3 linked regions of the Cricetulus griseus genome follow. The protein of the gene in region 2 purifies or fractionates together with the protein of the main gene of each other region. This does not show direct contact. Links are inferred from orthologs where the notes say so. Each region holds a gene or a part of one and is shown on either strand. Other genes may lie near its edges.

The links.
Region 1: the proteins of Ppp1r7 (region 2) and Sh2d4a purify together in Homo sapiens (affinity purification with mass spectrometry; 3 studies listed by BioGRID and IntAct, counting the BioPlex papers as one, with this or other methods). This does not show direct contact. The link is inferred for Cricetulus griseus from reciprocal best matches to the Homo sapiens genes PPP1R7 and SH2D4A.
Region 3: the proteins of Ppp1r7 (region 2) and Ubxn2a purify together in Homo sapiens (affinity purification with mass spectrometry; 3 studies listed by BioGRID and IntAct, counting the BioPlex papers as one, with this or other methods). This does not show direct contact. The link is inferred for Cricetulus griseus from reciprocal best matches to the Homo sapiens genes PPP1R7 and UBXN2A.

The regions. Positions count from the first base shown.
Region 1 is NW_023276806.1:245,081,208-245,084,725, reverse strand, and holds part of Sh2d4a (SH2 domain-containing protein 4A), read right to left. Parts: intron 1,585-3,518; coding exon 1,473-1,584; intron 1-1,472. UniProt on the Homo sapiens protein: Inhibits estrogen-induced cell proliferation by competing with PLCG for binding to ESR1, blocking the effect of estrogen on PLCG and repressing estrogen-induced proliferation. May play a role in T-cell development and function.
Region 2 is NC_048595.1:444,832,948-444,836,301, reverse strand, and holds the end of Ppp1r7 (protein phosphatase 1 regulatory subunit 7), read right to left. Parts: intron 1,792-3,354; coding exon 1,615-1,791; 3' UTR 501-1,614; downstream 1-500. UniProt on the Homo sapiens protein: Regulatory subunit of protein phosphatase 1.
Region 3 is NC_048600.1:15,658,172-15,661,689, forward strand, and holds part of Ubxn2a (UBX domain-containing protein 2A), read right to left. Parts: intron 1,930-3,518; coding exon 1,823-1,929; intron 202-1,822; coding exon 64-201; intron 1-63. UniProt on the Homo sapiens protein: Acts to repress the ubiquitination and subsequent endoplasmic reticulum-associated degradation of CHRNA3 by the STUB1-VCP-UBXN2A complex in cortical neurons.

The DNA.
Region 1 (3,518 bases), on a different chromosome or scaffold from region 2:
GGCTTAACTGAATATGAGTTGGCCAAAGAGACCAGAAGTAAAGGATTTTTTTTTTAAGCCATAAACATGCTGTGGAGAATTTCAGAACACCTTAGTAAATGTACAAACACTTCACAATATGCCCTTTAACATTAATTACTTTCTAAAATAGATGGGGTTGTCATCTTTTAGCAGTGTAGCGTTAAAGATTAATGCAGGATGTAGTAACTATTTACTTTGGGAGCAGGGAGGTTGGAGACATGGTTTCTCTGTGTGGCCTTGGTTATCCCAGTACTGGCCTTGAACCCACAGAGATCTGCTTACCTCTGCCTTCTAAGTGCTGGGGTTAAAGGCATGCATTACTATCCCTGACTTCGAAGTTTCACGGGGGGGGGGGGTGTCTTGTTTTGTTTTTTTTTTCAATAACCATTTTCATTGAGGTTTTTTTTTAAAAAATAATTCAGGCATTGTGGTTTAGATATTGTCATATTTGACACTGAAGACACTAAAAACTATTTATCATACGAGAGTTTCAGTGCTTAGCACAAGAAGGTCACAGATTGGATCTTGCAAATAATTTTTGTTTCACAAAACTTTTAGCATAATGGATTGTAATGGAACTGCAGACCAATTCAGGACCTTAGCATCCTGAAAATCTTGCTGTTTAGGTTCTTCCTGTCTCCCTGTCTCAAGTGACAATCAAGTCTTCTCTGTTGGTGCCAAGTGAAGACTCTCAGCCATTCTTCAGCCTGGGTTGCCCATCCTCTGCCTGTCCTGTCTTCCTGGTTTGGCCCTGGCAGTACAAGCTCAAAAGAGAGTCAATGTTGGGTCAGAGGCATAGAATCGTGAGAGTGATGCAAATATATCCCATCTGTCAATTCTGCATGCTTTGTATTACAAAGTAGAATATTATTTTAAAATATGTTAACATTCGTTTATGTTATGGAATATTTGTTTAAAGATGCTAAGATATGCTGCATTCTTTCATATTGTATTTATTTAACTCTGTGAAGCTGTGTTACTTTGTCTGCCTCAAACACCTGATGGGTCTAATAAAGAGTTGAACAGCCAATAACAAGGCAGGCAAGAGAAGGGATAGGCAGGGCTGGCAGGCAGAGTGAATAAACAGAAGAAGAACATAATAGTAATAATAATTTAGAATTTTTAAATAATTATATTTTATACTATTTATAATGTTTTCTTCTCCAAGAAAGGGACATATTTTAATGTCATTGAATATTCTTCTGTGGGATTTTTTCATAGCTATATACAATTCCACCATACAGAAACATAATTTAACAGTATAAAGATGAATGCAAAGCCATTCTGCTACTCAGGCACCTGAGGAGATACCACTTCCTGATACCATTTGAGTGACAACTCAATGGGAAGGTACTTCTCAAGGATGCACTCTCTGTGCCTCCTGATGAATCACTCAAGTGGAAGGTCCAGTCTCGAGCCTGGAGGTGCCTCTGAGGCCCCGGGGTACTCACACGATGCCTGCCATTCGGAATCCTCCTTCCAGCTCTTGTATATCTGCTTGGTTTTCTCATCCTCTGTTTGTTTCACGTCTTCGTCTTCTTTTTTCTTTATGGGTTCTTTAGTCTGTTTGAAAACAAAAATAGATATGGGAAGTGGTGAACAAATGTGACAGTTTCTTTAAGAGGGCATAAGGCACTCTGGGTCCATTTAACTGTCTCTGGCCCACTAGGGAGCTACTTGGTGTCAGCAATGCCTGAAGCAAGAGCTCTGGATACCTCTGTGTGGGACTCTAGACTCTGTTCCTGCAGGCTGTTTTCCTAGAAGTGAGAAAGAACGTCACATAGAGTTCCTGTGAGCATCCATGCTTTAAGAGTGCCTGGCACAATGCACAGCACATAAGATCTATCTAAGCAACCCTTCCCCAGACCGGCACTTAGCTATTCCAAATATATTTCTCTGATGTAAATATGCGGAGTCATGGGGCCAGCGTAGACACTGACCTGCGGTAGCTAACAGGCTCCCAAGAGCAATCTTAACTGGGTGGGGTTTAAATGTTCTCCAACAAATAGGAGAATGTGATATGTGATTTGGGGTGCTCAAAAAAGGAATGAGGTGCTTTTTTGCCCTTCAAACACACAAAAAGTATCACCTTTGAAAAAGTGAAATACACCACAGAGTGAGTTCAAGTTCAGCACAATTTTGTAAGATTGTGTCTCAAAATTAAGAGGGTCATGGACACAGGTTGTCCACAGACCAGCTTTGTGAAAGCTCTATCCTGGCTTGCCTACCATGTGCAAAGCTCTAAGCTGAATCCCCCGTGCCACAGGAGGAGGAGACAGAGGACCACAAAAGTGACACAGAGGACCACAAAAGTGACAATGATGACTTTCCAACTACAAAGATGCAACCAGTGCGTAAAGTACTTGCTGTATAAGCTTGAGAACCTGAGTCTGAATCCCTGGTGCCCACGTAGTAGCTGGGCCTTGGGGTATGTGCCTGTAACTTCAGTGATGGCAGGGTAGACACAGGTGGATACTAGGGCAAACAGCATGTTCTAGGTTAAGTGAGAGATCACGTCTCAAAACATATATGAAGTCATAGAGGAAGACATCTAGTGCCTTCCTGGGGCCTCTATATGCTCATATATTGGCAAGTGCATCCTTTCCCAGGTAGATACATCATATACCATCCCATCCCAACGTACATAAAGATTTCCTTGCCATAAAAGCATTGTACCATTTTTGAAATCAAATCTTGGTTTGGATCACTGTAGGAAGCTATCGACCACTGTTAAGGCAGTCATACTCTGAATCTGTGCTCAACTGTATTTGAACACACCGTCTACTTTGATTTTTTTCTTACACTGTTTTCCTGCCTAGAGTCAAGCTCTCATTGTTGGTGTCACAGTGTTTTATAAAATCCAAGGAACAGCTTTTGGTTCTTGAGATTACTAAAATTTGCCATCTATTACTGAAGCTGGTTATGAGCCTGAAGAACATAGAAGTACAGCTCAAGATGTTCAAACTTGGACAGAAGGAAAAAACACAAACCCTTAAAAGAGGAACTCTGTTCATTTTTGGTCATTTGCTACAACTCTTGCTGGGCAGATGTGAACAAACTAGTTATGAAAGAAACATTCTCCCCATGTCAAGACTGAGGCAACAATGAGGATTCTAGGGACACTGACAGGAACCCAGACAACTGAAAGGCAAATGAGTCACCAAGCCCACCCCACCAAGTCAACCACTCATCAAAGTTAGGTCCCTGGAATTGTTGGCCCAACTTGTAGGCAGATTCATTAAAAAGCCTCCTCCAACCTACCAATTATTTACTGCTTATCTAACTTTGGAGCAGGCAGCAGGGAGTGCTTGTCACTTCTTGTTACTGCTCCATCTTGCTTCCCTCCCTTTCTCCTGCCTCCTGGATGGAATGTCTTAGTAGAGGAATCAGATACACAGTAGTACATACATATGTATTTATTTAGTCTCTCTGTCTCTTTGTCCCTGTCTCTGTCTACTTGTGTGTTCCTATGTGAGGCTTCATCTGTGCAGGAGTGA
Region 2 (3,354 bases):
GTTTTTTGGGTTTGTTTTTTGAGTTTTCAGACAGGATTTCTCTGCGTAGCCCTGGCTGTCCTGTAACTAGCTCTGTACACCAGGCTGGCCTTGAACTCACAGAGATCAACCTGCCTCTGCCTCTGGACTGCTGGGATTAAAGGTGTGTGCCACCACTGCTTGCTTAAGGAATAGCTTTCTAGAATTTAAATTCCCTTGGAGACATGTTCCCGTCTGCTCCACTTAGCTAAGATTCTCCTGCAGCTGCATCCTTGAGATGGTTGTGCTGCTTTGGTGACTGCCACCCCACCCCCCATTAGCTTTCTTTATACACTATGGAATCACTGGATGTGTGAGGCTCCTGTGAGTGACTGCAGTAGGGACACCTACATTTCAGTCCTTCTGTGTCCAAAATGTTTCCCACACTCCTAGGGCTATGGCAGTGTTCTCTGGGCTGCCTGCTACTCCACCCACCCTTCCTTGCTAAGAGCTTGCTTCTTGACAGGGAGATGCCGCACAGATTCAGATCATACAGTTTATTTGGTGAGAATTAGAATCAGGAAATGGGTGTTAAACCCCATGTTAGCGTTCTTACATTACAAACTCCTGCAGTTAACTGGATAGTGTGGACATGTGGGCACATGCTGCACGGCTCAAGGCAGGCTATCCCCTGATACTGAGAGAAGTCTAGAGCAGTGCTGTCTAGAACCTTCTGCGATGCTGGAAATGGGATGCCTCCCACTAGATGTGGCCCCTGAACAGATAAAGTGTGAGCACAATTAAGAGATAAAATAAATTCATTGGACTTAGGTATGAACAGTAACTGCAGCACATGGCAGTTAGGGGCCCATCTTAGTGTAGAACGAAGAGTCCTGGAAGCAGAGGGGCCTTTGGTGACCACATTCAGTCCTTACAGTGTGAAAGAGGAGATCTGAGGCTCCCAAGGATGACAATGCTCTTGCAGCACAAGTCATGCCCTAGAGGTTTGCTCAGAGAAATGTCATCTAAATAAGGCCAGAGGATCATGGTCGAGAACGGGAGTGGCCAGAGCTTTAGTTAGGTACGCTTCTGAGAATCACCGAGGTCAACAGTTGAGGGGTATGGAGTGAAGGTCTCCATGTCTCAGCTCTCACCTAGAAACAGGTCTTACAGCCCAGTGTGCTCAGCCACCACTCATGATGGGAAGGCTCTGAGGGTTACAGCATCTGAGATCAGAGCCCCTTTATGCAATTGTTTTTAAAATATAATTTTTTTCTTCTCAAAACTGATAGTCTGAAAGACTATCAAATGTGTTGCTATCGGTCATGACTGCTTAAACCCTGCAAACTGATTTGAGGGCCTGCTGGGGCAGGCCAGGCTAAGGACATAGACAGACAGGAAGAACAAATGACTGTAACATGTCCTGCATTCTCTCCATGGCTACAATAACCGTCACCAATTCACCAGGAAGACCACGTGGCAAGATTTAATAGTGTTGGCATCTCCAAATGGTGTGTGGTGTCTCAGGCCAGCTACCACCAGTGCCTTATTATTGCCATTGGGTTGTGACTGTTGGTATAGTGACGACTTCAGGAGCAATAGGTAGATTAAAAAACCGTGGCTGGGAAGAGGGACCAGGTGAGGAGCAAGGAGGACTCAGAACCTGACGAATGTGGCATCGATCTGCCGCACGGAGGGTAGAGCCAGCATGACCTTCCGCCGGTACTGTGGGTCCTTCTGCAGGGGGTTGCGCTCCAGGTACACAGTCTCCAGGTTCCTGGCACCCTTGAGCTCATCAAGGTCACTCCAGCTCTCCAGGAGATTGTCATTCATCTGAAGGAAGACATGAGAAAAAAGTCTTTAGAGGTCAGCCCTGCCCCTACGTGCCGGGAACCCTAAATATGAGACGGCGGTCATTAATACACTCTACAAGAGCTGGTTCTCAACTTCCTAAAGCTTCACTCCTTTAGTACAGTTCTTCATGTTGTGGTGACCCCCAGCCATGAAATTATTTTTGTTGCTGCTCTATAACTGAAATTTTTCTGTTATAAATCACAATGTAAATAATTTGAGACAGGCTTGCCAAAGGGATCTCGAGCCACAGGTTAACAACCACTACTCTATAGCCCTCCTTATCCCAATTCCTCATAGATCCTTCCATTAGCACTTGGCACTTCCTGGCCACCTTTCAGCAGCACTGTGAAAAGTTCTACCTGCTCATGCACAGACTATGTTCATTAACAACAAGAGATGAGGCATGCTGGCTGCATACCTCCTGGCCATAGGCAGGTCTGCAGCTGGCTTGGCTACTCTTTCTACATACTTGCTCTCACCAATTGCTGCCAAGACTGAGACTGCCCCAACTGTAATGCCACTGGCCAGAGGTTGCTCTACTCCAAGCATGACCCTTAGATCACCTTGGTGGTTCATTTCTGAGGAGTCTCCACTGCTAACTCCTGGATGCAAAGGCCACCAATGGCTGACCAACACTGCCAACACCAGATGAGGAACACTGAACCCCACAGTGGGCTGGGGTCTGAGCCTGGTAGGAGAGTGCCCTCCCTTCTCAAATGTGCCATCAAGATGAGACCGAAATGGTTGATGTTGTCCAACAGATGCATGTGGCTTCAGATTGGGATCAATTTTTTGAGACAAAGCTACCTTGGGTAAGAATCTACAGTACCAGATTAAACTGTCCAAACCCATTTTCTAGTCTATGTGCTGAGGCAGAAGCTTGGGAAGGGCACCTTTAGCAAAATAGCCACCTAGATATGGGCCATGTTATGCTAGCAAATGTTTAACCAACAGCTTGTTCTACAAGACAGAAAAACCATGATCAGTTGAATGTGCTACTTTCTATGGTGTAAGTACCGTGGCTGACTTAGCACCAATATGCCACCACTAACTATACCTGTTAGGGGTGTGCACAATTGGCCACTCATATCACTAAGGCCAGATGTGATCTACTGCACTTACGGCTTTGAAGACAGAGAAACTAAATGGCAGGGCAAGCTGCTATGTCAACAGCCTGAATAGAGGAGCCAAGTCTACTGTCAAGCTTCAGGACTCTTATTACAGCTCCTGTTCTGCCCATGTAGACGTCAGAAGTCATGTCTGCAGACACTCTAGGTGCAGGGTCTACAGCAAGCAGTTGTAGGAAGAAGCAGTGCACCACTCCTGGAGAAGTGACCTCTGTAGTCTGAGAACCTACCATGGGACAGACAGGCTACATGTGAAAACAGGCCTCGGCACTGGATGAGGATGCAGTGCAGGGGGGCAGGATGAAGGGTCACTGGAAGAGAATGCAGTGCGGGGAAGGCAGGGTGAAGGGTCACTGGAAGAGAATGCAGTGCGGGGAAGGCAGGGTGAAGGGTCACTGGAAGAGAATGCAGTGTA
Region 3 (3,518 bases), on a different chromosome or scaffold from region 2:
GAAATACTAAGTTCTATATGGTTAGAATAATGAGAAAACGTCTGTCACAATAACCATACTTACCTTCCTAGTCTGTGACCCTGTCCTGAGAAGGGCTGGAATACAGGCTTTGTAGACATACATACTTCATTTTTTTTATCTTCAACTTTAACATCCACCTCTTCTTTATCAAAAATTCCCTGTAGTTCTGAAGGTAATTCCCTTTGAAAGAAAAGAAAACGATAAAGTTCCTGTTTTCCCACAAATAGGCTTTGGGAGCCCATTCCCTATGGAGGGATACTATTGCAGGCCAGATACAGCAAGGAGGGCCTACACTCTCCCCCAAACAATATGACAGACTTTGAAGGTCCTTGGTAGAGGGCTTCACTATCCCTGGGGAGAAGTGGGGAGGCCTGTGGGGTGTGGGGTGTGGGTGGGGAACATGGGAGGAGGGGAGGACGAGGGAATGGGGAATGGATATGTAAATATGAGTAGTTAAAAAAAAAAAAAAAGAAGTTCCTATTTTCCCTTTTTCTGAGATACATATTCCATATGCCAAAAGAACTACATGATTTGTAGAAGTATAATGTATGGATTAAGGAGGTAGTTTAGCTGGCTGGGCACTTGGCTAGCATGTGCAGGTCTTTAGCAGCATATAAGCAAGCCATGGTGGTACACACTACAATCCCAGCACTTGGGACATGGAAGCAGGATGATCAGAAGTTCAAGGTTCTCCTTGACTACAAAGCAAGTTGGAGGTCAGCCTAGACTACAACAGACCCTTGTAAAAATATATAGGGCTGGTAAAGGTACTTGTTACCAAGCCTAATAAGAGTTTCATCTCTGGAACCCATATGGTAGAAGGAGAGAACAAACCCCTGCCAAGTGTCTTCTGACTTCCAATATGGACACTGTAGCACACAGGGGTGTCTTATATGTATAAATAAATAGATACATGTCCAGTTTTATAGCATTACCTAGAATAGTATTAAATTCATAATACTTGATTACACACTGCTACTTTTTTGTTGTTGTTTTGTTTTTCTTTCCAGACAGGGTTTCTCTGTGTAGCTTTGGAGCCTGTCCTGGAACTAGTAGACCAGGCTAGCCTCGAACTCAGAGATCTGCCTACCTCTGCCTCCCACGTGCTGGGATTAAAGGTGTGCGCCACCACTGCAACATGATGCTAATTTAAAAAGTTTTATTGTGTGTGTGCACGTATATGTACTTATTTGTATGGCATTAAGGAATAAGTGGCAAGACTTTGATGGATCAGAATTCAAATTCCTAAACTTCAAAATTATAGCTGTATCCTGGGCTTATTGGTGCATGCCCATAATTCCACTTGAGGCCAGTCTGGTCTACATAGTACACTCCAGGTTAGCCAATATTGTATTTTGAGACCCAGTACCAATAAAACAAAAAAATTAGTTATGGCTCTCTAAGGAAAATGTCAATTTAAAAAAAATAAAAAAGGCACTACAAGCCAGGCATGGTGGACCACATCTTTCATCCCAGCACTAGGGAGGCAGAGGCAAAAGGATCTCTGTGAGCTCAAGGCCAGCCTGATTTACAGTACCAGGATAGCAGGGACTGTCACACAGAGAAACTGTGTCTCAAAAAAAAGTAAAACAACAACAAAAGGGGTTTGGGGTGGGCATGGTCTTTAATCCCAGTTCTGAGAAAACAAGATGGCAGTGTACTGTTGAGTCTAAGGCTAGCCTGGAGGGAGAGTGAGAGGGGAGGGATAGGGGATGGGGAGAAAGATAAAGATCAATGATTCTTTCATAAGAAACTAGCCTGAAGTACCCTTCTACTATATATATATATATATCCTGCTTACCCCTTTTTGATGGAGTTCAGAAACTGCTGACTTGCACCATCAGAGTAACTTCTAAAGTCATCATTGACTGTGAATCCATTTTTCCACAATTTTATATTTATATCTACCTAAAAGGCAGTAAAGGCAGGCATGAATTGTAAGAAAGGTTGATCCTGAGCTCACTAAATAGCTTAGACTGGCCTTGAACTCCAGATCCTCCTACCTGAGTTCACAGGCTTTCACTAGCACACCCAGCTAATGAATGACTTTATAATAACATATTAGTCATTTAGAAAATAGTGGTTCCTGAAGCCTTGAAAATCTAAATGCTAATGTATTTCCTTATCTGATAGACATTATAGCTATTAAAATAACACTAACATCAAGAGGAAATTCTGTAAGTTTGAAAAGCTGTCAAATGCATGAAAGAGATTTCTTCAAATTCCTATTCTGGTTAAAAGTTGACTAAGTAAAATCTTTGCATTTGTAACAAATACAGTTTTAAGTTGTCTCCCTTGAAGTACCAGGCTCACTTAATTTTTCTGTGGAAATGCCTGCCAAAATAGCCAAGTCTAATGGGTGTGTGTATGCTGCATGTAGAGGCCAGAACTTGAAGTCCGTGTCTTCTTTAATTGTTATTTTATCCCATCCCAATAAAGGGCTAGGGAGTTGGCTGAGCAGTTAATAGCACTGGCTGCTCTTTCAGAAGACCCAGGTCCAATTCCCAACACTCTCATGGCAGCTCACAACTGTCTGTAACTCCAGTTCCAGGGGATCTGACACCTTCATACCAATATATATAAAGTTAAATAAATTATTAAAAAAAAAGACCACTAGGCAGTTAGGAGTACTCGTTGTTGGTTTGGTTCCTAGGACCTGCTCCACTAAACATCTGTAACTCTGTCTAGTTCCAGGAGAACTGGCTCTCTCTGTTGGCAGCCAGCACACATGTGGTAGATATACATATACATACCTTCAGACAAAACATTCAAACACATAAAATAAATAAATGTGCTCCGAGCCGGGTGTTGGTGGCACACACCTTTAATCCCAGCACTTGGGAGGCAGAGGCAGGCAGGCGGATCTCTGTGAGTTCGAGGCCAGCCTGGTCTCCAGAGCGAGTGCCAGGATAGGCTCCAATGCTACAGAGAAACCCTGTCTTGAAAAACCATAAATAAATAAATGAATATATAAATGTGTTCCATTTCCAGGTTTTGTTTACTTTTTAAACTATAATTCATCAATGTTTATAATTGGTACTATCATGACTGAAATATCTCTGACTGAACCTGGAGTTCACCAATTCAGCTAGATTGGCTAGCCACCCAGCACAGGGATGGTCTGTCTCTCTGCATCTCCAGCCCTGGGAATGAGTCTTTTGGTTTTTTATGTATGTGGCAGCTGGGAGTCCCAATCTAGCTCCTCACATTTAAAGTGCCTGCCACGTAAACCTTGCATCCTGAATATTCCAGCCTTGACTTAATTATGTGGCTGAGGACAACTTCAGACTTCCAGTTCTCCTGACTCTCCATCTCCTGAGTGTCGGGATTACAGATTCATATCAGCATGCCCAGTTTACAAAATGCTGGGTTGAATGCAGAGCTTTGTGTCTGCTATGTAAGCATTCTCTCAGTTGAGCTACCTCCTCAGCTCCATCACAGACATTCTTAACTAGAAGCATCATTTATTTGGTTTGTAAATTCAAGTAAGTAATATA